Saccharomyces cerevisiae S288C: one gene and its partners. The protein of the gene in region 1 binds, or shares a complex with, the protein of each later gene. Each region holds a gene or a part of one and is shown in the gene's direction. Other genes may lie near its edges. The genes, in order: CGI121, KAE1, PCC1 and BUD32.

Evidence for each region.
Region 2: CGI121 (region 1) and KAE1 share a complex: the UniProt entries of both Saccharomyces cerevisiae proteins name them as parts of the EKC/KEOPS complex.
Region 3: CGI121 (region 1) and PCC1 share a complex: the UniProt entries of both Saccharomyces cerevisiae proteins name them as parts of the EKC/KEOPS complex.
Region 4: the proteins of CGI121 (region 1) and BUD32 are in contact, whole or in part, in a crystal structure (PDB 4WW7), measured with the Saccharomyces cerevisiae proteins. Residues at the interface, in NP_013676.2 of Saccharomyces cerevisiae: Ser4 (codon at 2,408), Ile6 (codon at 2,414), Pro7 (codon at 2,417), Gln8 (codon at 2,420), Pro10 (codon at 2,426), Gly50 (codon at 2,546), Glu51 (codon at 2,549), Tyr54 (codon at 2,558), Ser55 (codon at 2,561), Tyr58 (codon at 2,570), Lys59 (codon at 2,573), Ile62 (codon at 2,582), Glu63 (codon at 2,585), Tyr66 (codon at 2,594), Asn67 (codon at 2,597), Asp159 (codon at 2,979), Phe160 (codon at 2,982), Gly167 (codon at 3,003), Arg170 (codon at 3,012), Ala171 (codon at 3,015), Val173 (codon at 3,021), Asp174 (codon at 3,024), Gln177 (codon at 3,033), Leu178 (codon at 3,036); in NP_011778.1 of Saccharomyces cerevisiae: Tyr12 (codon at 1,821), Leu13 (codon at 1,824), Thr14 (codon at 1,827), Asp16 (codon at 1,833), Val17 (codon at 1,836), Thr35 (codon at 1,890), His36 (codon at 1,893), Pro37 (codon at 1,896), Tyr38 (codon at 1,899), Leu39 (codon at 1,902), Pro40 (codon at 1,905), Ser77 (codon at 2,016), Arg78 (codon at 2,019), Ala81 (codon at 2,028), Tyr84 (codon at 2,037), Leu85 (codon at 2,040), Pro87 (codon at 2,046), Val91 (codon at 2,058), Pro92 (codon at 2,061), Gln93 (codon at 2,064), Leu94 (codon at 2,067), Ile95 (codon at 2,070), Ala96 (codon at 2,073), Cys97 (codon at 2,076), Asp98 (codon at 2,079), Pro99 (codon at 2,082), Tyr100 (codon at 2,085), Asn101 (codon at 2,088), Trp105 (codon at 2,100), Glu107 (codon at 2,106).

What each region holds. Positions count from the first base shown.
Region 1 is NC_001145.3:203,244-207,142, forward strand, and holds CGI121 (Cgi121p), read left to right. Parts: upstream 1-2,398; coding exon 2,399-2,854; intron 2,855-2,960; coding exon 2,961-3,050; downstream 3,051-3,899. Other genes in the region: YMD8 (Ymd8p), read right to left, coding at 1-860; LFT1 (Lft1p), read right to left, coding at 1,143-2,165; AMD1 (AMP deaminase), read right to left, coding at 3,185-3,899. UniProt on the Saccharomyces cerevisiae protein: Component of the EKC/KEOPS complex that is required for the formation of a threonylcarbamoyl group on adenosine at position 37 (t(6)A37) in tRNAs that read codons beginning with adenine.
Region 2 is NC_001143.9:510,483-514,911, reverse strand, and holds KAE1 (tRNA N6-adenosine threonylcarbamoyltransferase), read left to right. Parts: upstream 1-1,752; coding exon 1,753-2,913; downstream 2,914-4,429. Other genes in the region: SPC34 (Spc34p), read left to right, coding at 3,115-4,002; CAF4 (Caf4p), read left to right, coding at 4,279-4,429. UniProt on the Saccharomyces cerevisiae protein: Component of the EKC/KEOPS complex that is required for the formation of a threonylcarbamoyl group on adenosine at position 37 (t(6)A37) in tRNAs that read codons beginning with adenine.
Region 3 is NC_001143.9:623,486-627,316, forward strand, and holds PCC1 (chromatin DNA-binding EKC/KEOPS complex subunit PCC1), read left to right. Parts: upstream 1-2,378; coding exon 2,379-2,416; intron 2,417-2,491; coding exon 2,492-2,720; downstream 2,721-3,831. Other genes in the region: MLP1 (Mlp1p), read left to right, coding at 1-1,947; ESL2 (Esl2p), read left to right, coding at 3,308-3,831. UniProt on the Saccharomyces cerevisiae protein: Component of the EKC/KEOPS complex that is required for the formation of a threonylcarbamoyl group on adenosine at position 37 (t(6)A37) in tRNAs that read codons beginning with adenine.
Region 4 is NC_001139.9:1,015,482-1,019,546, reverse strand, and holds BUD32 (serine/threonine protein kinase BUD32), read left to right. Parts: upstream 1-1,787; coding exon 1,788-2,573; downstream 2,574-4,065. Other genes in the region: SAY1 (steryl deacetylase), read left to right, coding at 306-1,580; APL6 (AP-3 complex subunit beta), read left to right, coding at 2,797-4,065. UniProt on the Saccharomyces cerevisiae protein: Component of the EKC/KEOPS complex that is required for the formation of a threonylcarbamoyl group on adenosine at position 37 (t(6)A37) in tRNAs that read codons beginning with adenine.

The sequences.
Region 1 (3,899 bases):
CCATTGCTCGTATCAAGCCTAAATATGCTAGAGCTGAATATACCAGGAAATGGTTTTTCCACAAGTAGCGAGGTAAGCAACAGAGTAATGCCCATTATAGGAGCTAACTGGTGGATTGTATGAATTGGGTGAGGCTTGGATTCTCCAAAATTCTCCAGCATTTTGTTATTGGCGAGGTTAACAACAGGTTCATTATCGACATTATCTTCATTTTCCGTGAAAAGGGCACCATCAGATTCCTCTACTGCTGCAGCGGTGTTAGTTTGAATTGGGTTGTTCCTAAGCATCAACTGCGTATAAACCCACCTTAACCCAGAAAGACAGCTACTTGCTAGGACAAGAAAGCTGCCAAAAATGACCAAGGCTTGGTCGTTTTTGGTACTGGTGGAATCGCTTGGTTTGAAAACCATTAATGCTACACCAACAAACATAATTATTACTGAAAGTGCCAACTTCCAATGAAACTTTTCTAGCTTGAAGATACAGCCGAATAAAAGGACAAAAGCTATGCTCGAAGATTTGATAATTGTATAAATTGTCAAGGGAACATACTGGAAGGAAACGTTACTGAGCCCGATATCACCTGCAGAAGCGACTGCCGTAGGGAGTAAAAATTTTAGAAAAAAACTCCAGTTAAAACCATTATTCTTTCTTAAAACGTTTTTCACTGGCTTATGCCTGAGCTTAATGTATATGCCGGATAGTAACCATAAAGTAGCCTGATGGAATGTTGTCACCAACACGGGATACCCAATACCCAATCCGTCCTTCGGATCGAACATCCATCTATTGTATATGGAGAGAGCTATTGAACAGAAATACCATCCAAATACAAATGCCAAAAAGACAGTCCTATTCATAGCAAAATGTGACACGAGAATTGAAGGTATAAACACTCGCTGTAACAACTTCAAGTGATCGTGGAAGTGATGAAAATGCAGTTATGAGTATAATCAGGCCAATTGACACTTTAAAAAAACAGAACAACAGCTTCTCGTGATGCCACTATCCCTTATATTTCCAGTTCTAAGCCATCTCCTTCTCATTCTCGACAAAAAAAATGGGTGTGATTATTTTGCGCTTTATTTTTTGGCGTCTCGTCGCCGATGACTCTAATAGATGTTGAAGCCTACAAGCATCTATTATATTTTCTTCTTTGGTTGTAATGGGATGAATGAATCTAGAGTTAATGAAGGAGTGCTGGCAATGCTGGGCTCGCTGGATGGATGATAACTAGATTGTGCAGGTACCTGTTCAAATCCATCACCATCATCATGTTCACTGCATCCAGTGTTAGTAACTGCGGGCTCGTGTACTTTGGGTTCAGCTTGTTGATCACTCATACTCTCTTGCTTTGATTGGATGGTATTTTTATCACTGAAAGTTGTATCATCGTCAGGTGATAGGCCAGATTTTTGGCTTACCTCATCCTGAATTTCATTTTTGGCCTCTATAGGCTTTTCGGATTTCTTTTTTGAACCTGATTTAGAACCAGAATGGCCCCAAAATCCAAAAAAACTCTTCCTTTTCGACTTATTTTTCTTTGTCTTATCACCGTCTGATTTCTTCTTTTCTTTGGGCAATTCCTTAACAACGAATTTCTGTAGCGGGTCCACTTTGAAATCGGAATTAGCCCACGTAGAAGGTTTCTTGCCATCAGCTGTATGTGCCTCATTTCTCTCAAATCTTTCTTCCACCATCCAACTTTTGCTATTGGGCTTTATACACTTATCAATCTCAGCAGAAGCTCTATCAAATAACTGACTGGTAGTAGTAATTTTGGGCTTGTTGCTTCCTCTGCTCGGAGAGCCCTGCTTGAAGGTTGTATTTATAGTTTCTTGATGAGAAGTAGGTGCTACATTATGACTCCAGGAAAATAGAACTGGCCCATCCAGCTGTAAAGCGCCAGAATTCATAGTTATGGTTTTTTCCTCATCAATCCAATCTCTTTGTATTTGCCGACATTTCCCATCAAGTTTGTCGGTACTCAATTTATTCCCCATTTGCATAGGTGAATGAAACAAACAGTTCATCAACCGCCTACCGTTCGCTACTTCATCTAATAACCCATATAACGACACATCTCCATTTTTGGCTTGCTCGGAGTCATCTTGCGGTGTGTATTCCTTACTGAACAACTGGTCGATTATTTTGTTTTCGTCCATAATTTGTCCTTCCCAAAAAATAACCAGCTTAGATTCTGACAATGCTTGTTTCTTTAATTGATGATCTGTAATATTCGTTGATCATTAATACCATTGATTTCAATATTTCATGTTTAATCTTTTGCGCGAAAATTTCAATTGCAAACCAAAATATACATCAACAATCTTTTATCGGTCAACAAATTTGTCGATATAACCAAATATACGTCGTCGCTGCCCATTATACAATCATCATGGTAGTATCCATCATACCGCAATTTCCTGATATCAAGGTTTCACTAGCATTGTTTGAACAGGTTAAAAATGCTAAAGAAATACGCTCTAAAATGAGTGAATTGTCGACATCCTTTGCCTTTATTGACCCCCGGTTAGTCTGTTCGGGGGAGCAGATGTATTCTGCAATTTACAAGACCTTAATAGAAGTGAAATATAACAAGATGAGAACAAGAAATTTGAATTCCGAGTGCGTACTATGTCTTTCACCCACTTCCAATATTAGTGATGCTTTCCTCAAATTCGGAATCAAAGACGATTCGTCACAGTTAATATGCCTTAAGTTCCATACTAATACTGACGATGTAGACAAAGAGCAATTGAGGACGATTATGACTTCTATAGTAAAAGGACAAGAGATCGAGTTTAATGATGACAATTTATCGAGATTTTATGACGAAGCGCTCATAAGAAAAGTATGTTTTAATAATAAATTCGAGGTAAAAACTTCAACAGCCTCACCAGAAACACATTGTACTAACTTCACCTTTGTTTTCCTTTTATTTTGTTTTTACCTATTAGATCTATAAATTAAGTGATGATTTCAAGCCCCAAGACGTAAATGGTCTCTCAAGAGCTTTGGTAGACGCTATTCAATTGAGGGGTGTGTAGATAAGAGATATCTAACGATAAAATTATAAAAAAAATTCTTTGATTATTTTTCAGATTAGTATTATTTGTTCTCCGTGAAGTCAGTGTATCGAACTGCCAAAAGTTCTCCTTATATACATGTGCGCGTATAACCATCACTTTTCTTCAATGGTTCTCTTGAAATTGGCAAAATGATTAACTAATTCCAGTTCAGTTGATAATGTATCGTATCTGTAGTTAATTCTAATATCAGGAACATTTGTTCTAACCACATCGTTACCTTCAACACCACTCTTGTCAAAATCTTTCCCTATCCAATGTTTTTTGATTTGTGCTTCCCACCCACTTTGCAACACGGAATTTCTTGCCAATTCACACATATCTACATTAGACAATTTATAAATTTGTGCTGCAACTGAGTATTCTTCGATTAATGGTTCTCTGGTATATGAGAATTGTAAAGGATCATCTGTGGATAGTGAGACATTCAAACCTCTTTTAAAGTATCTCGGAAATGGGTTTTTATCATAGGTCAAAAATAATGCGTTATTAGAAAGGGGTGACATTGCGATACCAACCTGATCTAAATAGTATAAGTATTGAACAAATGGAACTTTCCTCAATAAAATACCATGTGATATACCATGTGCCAATAGATATGCTGAAACGAGATGCTCGGGGTCACCGGCTTCACCACAATGTGGTCTCAAAACCAAAGTGTTAAACCCTCTCTTAGCCCTCCATTGATTCAAAGACGCGACATTTGAATACAAATAGTACAGGTAATAGGAATAAGGAGGGTTTTGAGGAGCCTCCCAGAGTGATGGCTTGGGATATTTCCTATGAAAGCGGCGATCAACCTTGGATTCA
Region 2 (4,429 bases), on another chromosome or scaffold:
TTCATTTAAGTGGACTTCACCTTCATCTTTATATGTCTCATCCAGAGCGAATTCCGGAAGAAAGGTGTGTTGCCCCAACTATGCGCTTATCATGTTTAATTTACTATGAGGAGGTAAATGGCCGGTTGCTCCAGAAGATAAGCTAATCGGACGTAAGAAAAAGCATCCAAACTGACATTTAACAATCTTATCAGTTACCAAATCAAGTTCCCCGTTATCGCACTCGAGAGATATGGGCGATGTGACTTTGCTGCATGAGGTCAATGGGTAGATTAGTGAGGCTGCCTGATAGCGGCACGGCACCAACGACCCCTTATCAAAAGGAAATGGTATAAAAAAAAATAAATAATAATTATTAATAAAAATATCACTGATTACGATTCTAGTGAGCAGATAAGCGATCGGCTGAAAAAAAAAGTCCTAAAACAGATATCATGATGAAAAAAACAACCATAGATTCCACCGGATCAGTGAAAAAGTAATCAACGGACCTGTGGAAGGTCGGAATGAGTCGCCGACGGAACTCATGCTGCCCCTATTCTCCTTTGTGTCTGGTGTCAGGTCGATCTGCACAGCGTAATGATACTTCGACTAGTCAGAACGCAACATATTGTCCTTGGCACTGGTGTGTCTAATCTATTGTTGTAGGTTACGTAAGCAGGGGCAAGACACCATCTGATGGGTTGAAAAGAATGTGTAAGTATTAGAACCTTAGTTCAAACAGTAAAAAATACAGAGAGCTGTGTCTAATTTAATCATGTATGTTCTGTGTTGATTTATCTATCAATGCTTTAGTGCTTCGTAATAGTACAACTTCAGAGTGAGTATGAGAAAGTTTCTTTTAACTTTTGGCCCAGGATTTTTTGCCGGCCGGGCAACGCAATGTGTTCTCTAAATTGGGTAGTGATGATTTTATATACATCAGGTCAAACATAAACCAAGCGACAGATTTGTCGAAGATATTCGACGAGGTATTTTTTGATTACTTGACCCAGAGCGAGGTGTAAATGATGTATTTCACACGGATGGAACGCCCGCAAGAGTCTACTAAGCAAAACATGATGTTGAAATATCATCTGTTTAGTAATATTCATATTGCTAGTATACTATCATATGCGGTGTAAGAAGAGGACATAAGGTTGAAAAATAGTCATCAATCTAATGAAAGCTGAAATGCAAGGATTGATAATATAATAGGATAATGAAACATATAAAACGAAAGCAGAAAATAATCGTAGTATTATTATGTAGAAATATCGATTCCATTTTGAGGATTCCTATGTGCTCGAGTACAATTTCTAGTATATTCTGTGTATGTATATTATAGTCTTTATCATCAATGGCATCCCAACAATTATCTTAAAATTCACCCATTTGTCAAGATAATGGTTGATTCTTATTTAGACACAATAAAAAAACTTGAAGACATCTGCTTCTGAGCTGTAGAGGTACCAATTCGACGAAATATAAATATTTAAAACTAAGAGAAAAAATCCAACAAATAACGTTCCGTGATAGTTTAATGGTCAGAATGGGCGCTTGTCGCGTGCCAGATCGGGGTTCAATTCCCCGTCGCGGAGATTTTTTATTTTGCTTTTTATTCCTCCTGTAATATCGCTTTATACGGAAAAACTGAATTCTTTCATTATGATGAGTTCGAGAGTAACCATTTTTACTTCGTGCAACGATGCATATATTTATCTTTTACGTGAAGGGAATTCCCAAGCGTTCCCTAATGCAGTCGGGAGCAAAATGGTCAACTTGAACACTATCCCACCCAAAAATGGCAGGGACTACTACATTGCGCTTGGACTTGAAGGTTCTGCAAATAAACTGGGCGTTGGTATAGTTAAGCATCCGCTTCTGCCTAAACATGCCAACAGCGATCTATCTTATGATTGCGAAGCTGAGATGCTTTCTAATATTAGAGACACATATGTCACACCTCCTGGGGAGGGATTTTTGCCTCGAGACACGGCAAGGCATCACAGAAATTGGTGCATAAGACTCATAAAACAAGCACTGGCCGAAGCTGACATCAAAAGCCCGACACTAGACATTGATGTAATTTGCTTTACCAAAGGTCCCGGCATGGGGGCCCCTCTGCATTCAGTTGTCATCGCCGCCAGAACGTGCTCCTTACTGTGGGACGTGCCACTGGTGGGAGTAAACCACTGCATTGGTCACATCGAAATGGGGAGAGAAATCACTAAAGCTCAAAATCCTGTGGTACTGTATGTAAGTGGTGGAAATACACAAGTTATTGCATACTCGGAAAAAAGGTACCGTATCTTTGGTGAAACGCTTGATATTGCTATCGGTAATTGTCTTGATAGATTTGCAAGAACTCTGAAGATACCTAATGAGCCCTCGCCTGGCTACAACATCGAGCAGTTAGCTAAAAAAGCCCCTCACAAAGAAAACTTGGTAGAACTTCCCTATACAGTAAAGGGGATGGATCTTTCGATGAGTGGTATATTGGCTTCCATCGATTTACTTGCCAAGGATCTATTTAAGGGCAATAAGAAAAATAAGATCCTATTCGACAAGACAACGGGCGAGCAAAAAGTCACTGTAGAGGATCTTTGCTACTCTCTGCAAGAGAACCTATTCGCCATGCTAGTTGAAATAACAGAAAGAGCTATGGCTCACGTTAACTCCAATCAAGTTTTGATCGTAGGCGGTGTTGGTTGTAACGTGCGATTACAAGAAATGATGGCGCAAATGTGTAAAGACAGGGCCAATGGGCAAGTACATGCTACAGATAATAGGTTTTGTATCGATAACGGAGTTATGATTGCCCAAGCAGGACTACTAGAGTATAGAATGGGTGGGATCGTGAAGGACTTTTCTGAAACTGTTGTTACGCAGAAATTCAGAACCGATGAAGTATACGCAGCCTGGCGTGATTAACGATTTTTGTTACAGTTAGCCTAATGTTCACACTACGAATATATATATATATTTATATATGCCATACACCTTACATTTACAGCTCAGTGTATAACCTTGTGGAAGCGCGAAAATAAGCAAGAGACATTTGAAAATAATCAATAAACAAAGCTCAAAAAAATTAGATCATCACCTAACAAAATAAGACGTGGCAATTACAGAATGGGGGAAAGCTTGGATAGATGTATAGATGATATTAATAGGGCGGTGGACTCTATGTCCACACTCTATTTCAAGCCACCAGGAATTTTTCATAATGCCATCCTACAGGGAGCAAGCAACAAGGCAAGCATTAGAAAAGACATTACTAGACTAATAAAGGACTGTAACCACGACGAGGCGTATCTTCTGTTCAAAGTCAACCCTGAGAAACAATCCGTTTCACGTAGAGACGGCAAGGAGGGAGTATTCGACTATGTTATTAAACGAGATACGGACATGAAAAGAAATAGAAGGCTGGGCAGACCAGGGGAAAAACCGATCATCCATGTGCCCAAGGAAGTATATTTGAACAAAGATCGTCTTGATTTGAACAATAAAAGGAGAAGAACCGCCACTACAAGTGGCGGTGGCTTGAACGGTTTTATTTTTGATACCGATCTTATAGGATCCTCTGTCATTTCAAATTCAAGTTCAGGTACATTCAAAGCATTATCAGCCGTGTTCAAGGATGATCCGCAAATTCAAAGGCTCCTATATGCCTTGGAAAATGGAAGCGTGCTCATGGAAGAAGAATCCAATAACCAAAGAAGAAAAACCATCTTTGTCGAGGATTTCCCTACTGATTTAATTCTTAAAGTTATGGCCGAAGTAACAGATTTATGGCCACTAACAGAGTTCAAGCAGGATTACGACCAATTGTACCATAATTATGAACAACTTTCTTCCAAATTGCGCTTCATCAAGAAAGAAGTTTTGCTTCAAGATGATCGCTTAAAGACTATGTCACAGTACCATCCTTCTTCTTCTCACGACGTTGCTAAGATTATTCGAAAAGAAAAAGATGAAATTAGGCGGCTAGAAATGGAGATAGCCAACTTGCAAGAGTAGGGGAGCACTTCTCCTCAAGAATAGATATTTCCTTTGTCCTAATTGCATACATAGGCCACTGCAAATCATATAATTATGTATTACCTTACATCTAAATGTATAAAACCAACTGAGCGGATCCACCATGGGTCTGTCTCCTGTTAAAGCATGTAGCTTCATGTTTCTCACATAAACTTTCCTCATCGTAATGGAAAAAAAAAATAGTCATAAAAAAAAAACTAACCATGAATGACATATAAGATTACCACGAGCGAGAGTAAAAAAGAGTATCTCTATATGGGTTCGGGCGATACTAGAGGAGAAAGCTCTCTGGTAGCTAAACCAATCGAAATTATACTTAATAAGCTACCACATGCCATACTAGCGCAACAACAATTTCAAAAATATATAACGAGCCCCATCTACAGATATCTTTCCAAACTTCTAC
Region 3 (3,831 bases), on another chromosome or scaffold:
AATGAGCTGGAAAACAACAATAACAAGAAGAAGGAACTGCAATCTGAATTAGATAAATTGAAGCAAAATGTTGCGCCTATCGAGTCCGAATTGACAGCCTTGAAATATTCTATGCAAGAAAAAGAGCAAGAGCTCAAATTAGCTAAAGAAGAGGTTCATCGTTGGAAAAAGCGCTCACAAGACATATTGGAGAAACATGAACAATTGAGCTCAAGCGATTATGAGAAGCTAGAAAGCGAGATAGAAAATTTGAAGGAGGAACTAGAAAATAAGGAGCGTCAAGGAGCGGAAGCCGAGGAAAAATTTAACAGGCTGAGAAGACAAGCGCAAGAGAGATTAAAAACATCAAAACTCTCACAGGACTCATTGACTGAACAAGTAAATAGTCTAAGGGATGCAAAGAACGTGTTGGAAAATTCCTTGAGTGAGGCAAACGCGAGAATCGAAGAGTTACAAAATGCAAAAGTAGCACAAGGTAACAACCAGTTAGAAGCAATAAGAAAATTACAAGAAGACGCAGAAAAGGCTTCAAGAGAGCTTCAAGCCAAGTTAGAAGAAAGTACGACTTCTTACGAATCTACGATAAACGGCTTAAATGAAGAGATTACAACATTAAAAGAAGAAATTGAAAAACAAAGGCAAATCCAGCAACAGTTACAAGCTACATCTGCAAATGAACAAAATGACTTATCTAACATAGTTGAGTCTATGAAAAAGTCTTTTGAAGAAGATAAAATCAAATTCATCAAAGAAAAAACCCAAGAAGTTAATGAAAAAATACTCGAGGCCCAAGAAAGGCTAAATCAACCTTCCAATATCAATATGGAGGAGATTAAAAAAAAATGGGAATCTGAGCACGAACAGGAAGTATCTCAAAAGATTCGCGAAGCTGAGGAAGCCCTCAAAAAGCGAATCAGATTACCCACTGAGGAGAAAATTAATAAGATAATCGAACGAAAGAAGGAGGAATTGGAAAAAGAGTTTGAAGAAAAGGTTGAGGAGAGAATAAAATCAATGGAACAATCTGGAGAAATAGACGTGGTGCTTCGAAAACAGCTAGAAGCTAAGGTTCAAGAGAAACAAAAGGAATTGGAAAACGAGTATAACAAAAAATTACAAGAAGAACTCAAAGATGTACCACACTCAAGTCATATCTCAGATGATGAAAGGGACAAATTACGAGCAGAAATCGAAAGCAGGTTGAGGGAGGAGTTCAACAATGAACTGCAAGCCATAAAGAAGAAATCCTTCGACGAAGGAAAGCAACAAGCAATGATGAAAACTACCCTTTTGGAAAGAAAACTTGCCAAGATGGAATCTCAATTGTCAGAAACAAAACAAAGTGCCGAGAGTCCTCCGAAATCTGTTAACAATGTACAAAATCCATTACTAGGATTACCTAGGAAAATCGAAGAGAATTCAAATTCACCATTCAATCCGTTACTTTCCGGTGAAAAACTCTTAAAGCTAAATTCTAAGTCTTCATCAGGTGGATTTAACCCTTTTACCTCGCCATCCCCAAATAAGCACTTACAAAATGATAATGACAAAAGGGAGTCGTTGGCTAACAAGACAGATCCACCAACTCATTTGGAACCCAGCTTCAACATTCCCGCCTCAAGGGGTCTAATATCTTCATCTTCCACTTTGTCAACTGATACAAATGATGAAGAACTTACTAGCAACAATCCTGCCCAAAAGGATTCATCGAACAGAAATGTTCAATCGGAAGAGGATACAGAAAAAAAGAAAGAGGGAGAACCTGTTAAAAGAGGAGAGGCAATAGAAGAGCAGACGAAATCCAACAAGCGACCTATTGATGAGGTAGGAGAGCTGAAAAATGATGAAGACGACACTACAGAAAACATTAATGAGTCAAAAAAGATCAAGACTGAAGATGAGGAAGAAAAAGAAACCGATAAGGTGAATGACGAGAACAGTATATAAAGGAGATAGTAAAAACAAGGGATCAATACAAACTAAACCTTTTTCAATGTGGAGGAGCTTCATTCTGCCCTATGTCAAGACCATTTGTAATATACGTACAACAGCATTCTTGTTTCATAAAGTTTATATATGTATAAGCTAAGATGAAGTCACGTAAATAGCTCAAATGCCGATTTTTTAATACTCCAAACACAGAATCCTCTATATATGGAAATGGAATCATGAATCTTACGGTTTGTGTTTTGAATGTTCCAAACAGATTTTCTTAGTGTTCCGATCTCTGTTCCACCCACCAAACGAGAAAAAAGTAGGTCTTCGCGAAAACTCCAGCGACACCGCTGGTCCTTTAAGTTAAAATAATATGAATGGTGGAAGAACCCAGATCAACTTGACTGAAACAAGTCTGCCAACATAGACAGCTAAGAAAATTGATGACAAGCAAACGGGAAAAGTCACTGGATCACACATTGTAAGTAGAAGCAGTTTTTCAATGGGAAGACCGCACTGCATAGTTTACTAACTATTTAAACTTTCCAAACATTAGAGAACTAAAGATACCGTTTGAAACGGAGCGACAAGCGACCATAGCAACCAAAGTCCTATCTCCGGACCCGATTTTGAAGCCACAAGATTTTCAAGTAGACTACAGTTCCGAGAAAAATGTCATGCTAGTCCAGTTCAGAAGCATTGATGATAGGGTGCTTCGAGTGGGAGTTAGCAGTATCATAGACAGTATCAAAACCATTGTGGAAGCCATGGACGTTCTATCATAAATAATTAGAACACCGTATTAGTGTACATATAGTATAAGTATCTAGACGGCATTCATGCACATCATAACTTAAATATTTAAAATAGCATTAAGATAAAAAAATAAAGAGAGGTATAGTTGCTAAATGTCCTGGGGTTGCGTGTAAATAAACAATTGTTTGCTTTGAGTAAAGCAAGCATGTGGATGGTAGATGAGGCCTTATTTACTCCCATTAGCTGGGTAACGCAGAAAGTTTTAATATGAAAGGGTGACGGCGCTTGGCGTTTTTCTTGGATTGTAGAAGTCATGCTAGGCCCTTGGAGTAAGATAAGAGAGAACAAATAAAAGCTTTGGCAAATATCAACTCAGACGTCTTTTTTAAAGAGGATATAGAGCTTTGGTGTTGGCCTATTTCCCATCGCTGTTAAATTTCCGCTTTTTTGTTTTTTTTTTCCCTAAATTTGAGGAACAGCTGTTTATATTGATTTCCTTCTTTCCTGGTGCATATTGGTTGAATCATCAACGCTTAACGACTAACAAATTAGATCCAGAGTTACAGACGGGTGAGATTCATATATAGACCGAAGGAGTTTCACAATCCACTATATTATGCCAGAAACCTCTGTTCAGAATCCATTAAGGCTTTCTGAAAATGAAAATACTCGTTCGATGTTTCTGTCTGCATCACAGCAGCAGCGGCCATCTGCCACTCCATCCTTCCCTAGGTTGGTACGGAATACCACAGCAAATTTGAGTTTATCAGATTTTCAAGTGTTAAATCCGTCTTCTAAAAGGCAAAATTCAAACTCGGTTTACGATGATATAAATAGCAGTAAGAGGCGAATAAGTAGACCTAGATTTTCAGATATCGAAGGAAAAAATAATGACCATACTTACCCAGAAAGAACAACAGTCAAGGAATCAGAGAAAAATCCTTCTCCCAGATATGTGAGTAGTTCGAAAAGGGCCCTGAAAAGGGAAAACTCAGTTGGAATTACTCAATCCTCTGCATTGATTTCGAAATCATTTAGTGAAAACGGCGGAAGCATTGCACATGAGAAATGGAGCCCGGAAAATATGATAAAACCACTGAACGTTTCACAGAATTCGCTAGCTTTCGTGGATGCAGGGTC
Region 4 (4,065 bases), on another chromosome or scaffold:
GATAAAAGTGTATCAATTAATATATAGATTTTACTCTGATATAAAAACAAGTTTAAAAAACAATTCTCCCGCTAACACGTTTATACCCTTTCTTTTAGTTGAGTAATTGTGTAGTGTTAAGCTGAGAATATTCATGATTTGATTTCTGATAAATAACTTCTGCTTTATAATAACAAATGTTTAACGTGTTAGCGCCATAATTATATAGAATTGAGGGAAAAAGAAACTGAAAACCAAAAATACCCTGCGTCGCTTGAAATGAGAACAGCACAAATCAATTTTAAAGGAAAAGGTTTCAAAGAAGAATGGCAGCCAACTCTGGTCTCGACTCAAAAGTTGAATATTATCGGCTTCAAGAGAATGAAATTATTAGCGCTGTATCAAGTGAGGATGCAGATCAAAATGATGCGGGCTTTCGATTGAGTACCATCCATTTGCATTTGTTCCATGGATTGAAATTTGCCGCTCTATTGTTCACAGTGGTGCCTGTATTTATAATCCTCGACAGTATGAAGATCATTTTTCAACGCAAACGTAGGTTTTGCCTTGACCATGTCAACAGAAGTTTTTTAAGACAAAGTTCTTGGATCCTCGATGAACGCATCTGTCAATACGTGCTCAATCCTTTATTTGTTTGTTTATATCCTTCTACATTTTCTAGTCCAACATATGTCAAATGCAACATTCCTATAGAAGATCAGAAATCTCCAGAAAACAATATTTTCCAAGACCATCAATTAAACGCACCCAAAATAGTTAGCACAAAGTTTTATCAATATGTTATGCCGGAAGGATTTGACCCCACGACAGATCCAGTTTTAGTATTCTATCATGGGGGTGGTTATGCTCTTAAATTGACGCCTACGTCGTTTTCTTTCTTGAATAATATGCGAAATGCCTTTCCTAAAATGGCCATTCTTGTACCAGATTATACCGTTACAGCTACCGATGACCAGTCGAAAAAGTACCCTCTGCAAATTTTACAAAATGTGGCCATTTTTGATTACGTTGTTAAGACTATGGGGTGCAAAAATGTAGTGATTATGGGGGATTCTGCTGGTGGCAATGCTGTTTTGAACATTGTTTTATATTTAAGAAAGTGTCACAGAGAAATATACCCGAAAAAAGTCATAGCCATAAGTCCCTGGGCCAATGCCACTTTCTTCCACGAGGGAGAAAAGGAATATATGCAAGGAACACAAGAATGGGATGGTCTATGTTTGAAGAGTCATTCGATGTTTGGGCGAATGTTTGTAGGAAACAACCCAAACGTCGATTTTACCAGCGACCCTTTTGTTAATATTGAAAAGAATTTCGAAACTAAAATGTGGCAAGATATTCTGAAAAAGTGCTCTGTGATGATTACTTATGGTAGTGATGAGTTGTTGAGCTTTCAAAACAAGATCTTGGCAAAGAAAATGAGTGACGCTAGCGAGGGATGTAACCACTTTACCGCCAAAAATGTGCTGGTTGAACACCAAGGTTATCATACGGGCCCAATATTAAACTACTCTCGTAATATGGATCGCTGGACCAACATACCATCTATCGCTCGCATTCTTGAGTTTATGCAATCCTGAATTTGTCATAATGACAATTACATAACCCCTTTTATATACATAAATATTTGGGTCAGCACAAATTTATTTTGATTTTCCATTATTTTAGCAGCAACAAGGTTGAAAAAATCGCCGGCGCATCACCAACTTGAAGGACAAAGATAACCTTACTTGAAATCAAATAAGTGATGAATACGACAGCGGAAAAGGTTATACGCTTTGCTCATTATGACGCAAGAATTCATTGATAAAGTATCTTCCTACCTGACTCCTGATGTGGACATTGCACCTATTTCTCAAGGTGCAGAAGCCATTGTTTTCACAACGACTACTCACCCATATCTCCCAAGAGCAAAGGATTCTCATCAAAAGTATATTATCAAATATAGGCCACCAAAGCGTTATAGACATCCACAAATAGACCAGGCACTAACAAAACATCGTACGTTGAATGAGTCGCGTTTATTGGCCAAATTATACTTGATTCCAGGGCTATGTGTCCCTCAACTGATAGCGTGTGATCCATACAATGGATTCATTTGGTTAGAGTTCCTTGGAGAAGATCTTCCCGGAGGGCACGGTTTTAGTAACCTAAAGAACTTCCTTTGGATGCATGACCAAGATCCATATAGTGATCTTGTAGCAACTACACTACGGAAAGTGGGGCGCCAAATTGGGTTGTTGCACTGGAATGACTACTGTCATGGTGATTTGACAAGTTCTAACATTGTTCTCGTGCGAGATGGTGCGAGATGGACGCCTCATTTGATTGATTTCGGTCTGGGCTCAGTTTCAAACCTGGTCGAAGATAAAGGCGTCGATTTATACGTCTTAGAGAGAGCTATTTTAAGTACACATTCGAAGCATGCGGAAAAATACAATGCTTGGATCATGGAGGGGTTCGAAGAGGTCTATCGTGAACAAGGTGCGAAAGGTGCCAAGAAACTGAAAGAAGTTACCAAAAGATTCGAAGAGGTCAGGTTGCGTGGTCGTAAGAGAAGTATGCTAGGATAATATAAATGCTAGCGTACTGCCTGTATATCGCTGCACATAATATGTATCTATAATTTATATTAACGTACATAACTTTTAGGTATGTTACCATCAAAGCGTGTCCGAGTTATTGAGATTTTGACAAATTCAGACAAATCATTTTTGAAGAACCATATATATAAATATATAAAGAAAAGAAAGGTAAACCAAAGACAGCAAACAATCGAAAAGTGGACAACCAGCAATGGTAGATTCAATTCACCGTATTGCATCGGCGTTGGATACGGCCAAAGTAATAACGAGGGAAGCTGCCGCGGTAGCCACCTCTAAGCTGGGTGAATCCTCCTATACTTATTATTCTCAAAACATCAATCCTCAACAGTTAGTCACCTTGTTAAATTCTAGGAACTCTAGAGAAGTTAGAGATGCAATGAAGAGAATAATATCTATAATGGCTTCCGATGATGACTCTATTGACGTTCAATTATACTTTGCTGATGTTGTAAAGAATATCACCACTAATGACACCAAAGTGAAAAGACTTATTCACCTGTATTTACTTAGATTTGCAGAAAATGACCCAAACCTGACCCTGTTATCTATTAATTCTCTTCAAAAATCATTGTCTGATTCGAATTCCGAACTGAGATGCTTTGCTTTGAGTGCCCTTTCTGACATGAAAATGTCATCATTAGCACCTATAATTTTGCATACTGTCAAGAAATTGGTTACAGATCCATCTGCAATGGTTCGTGGTGAAGTCGCCTTGGCCATTATCAAATTATATAGGGCTGGAAAGAATGACTATCATGAAGAATTGTTGGATATTCTGAAAGAATTAATGGCAGATACAGATCCTAAGGTGATATCCTGTGCTGTCCTAGCTTACAAAGAATGTTATGCGGATCACTTGGAGCTATTGCATGGACATTTTCGCAGATATTGTAGAATAATTAAGCAACTAGATTCGTGGTCACAATCATATTTAATTGAGCTGCTAATCAAGTACTGTAAGCAGTATTTACCAAAACCAACTGTGGTCGATAAATCATCAGAAGGTTCCCCAAGGAGTTGTCCTTTACCAGATAAATACAACGAGATTGAATACCCATCTTACGAGGTGGTAAATGACCCTGATTTAGATTTATTTCTACAGAGTTTGAATTGCTTAATTTATAGTTCCAACCCTACAGTGATTTTATCGTGTTGCAATGCGCTATATCAGTTAGCTTCACCATTGCAGATGAAAAATACTAAATTTATTGAAGCATTGGTTAGAACGGTAACCATGACAGAAAACCAAGGTAACAAAGAAATGCTTTTACAAGCAATTCACTTCTTATCGATCTTAGACCAGACACTATTTTTACCCTACACCAAGAAATTTTACGTTTTCCCCAAAGATCCTATTGTGGCATCAATTTGGAAGATCCAAATTTTGTCCACGTTAATAAATGAATCAAACGTTAAAGAAATATTCAAAGAATTGAAATATTATGTTGCCAGTGCTCAT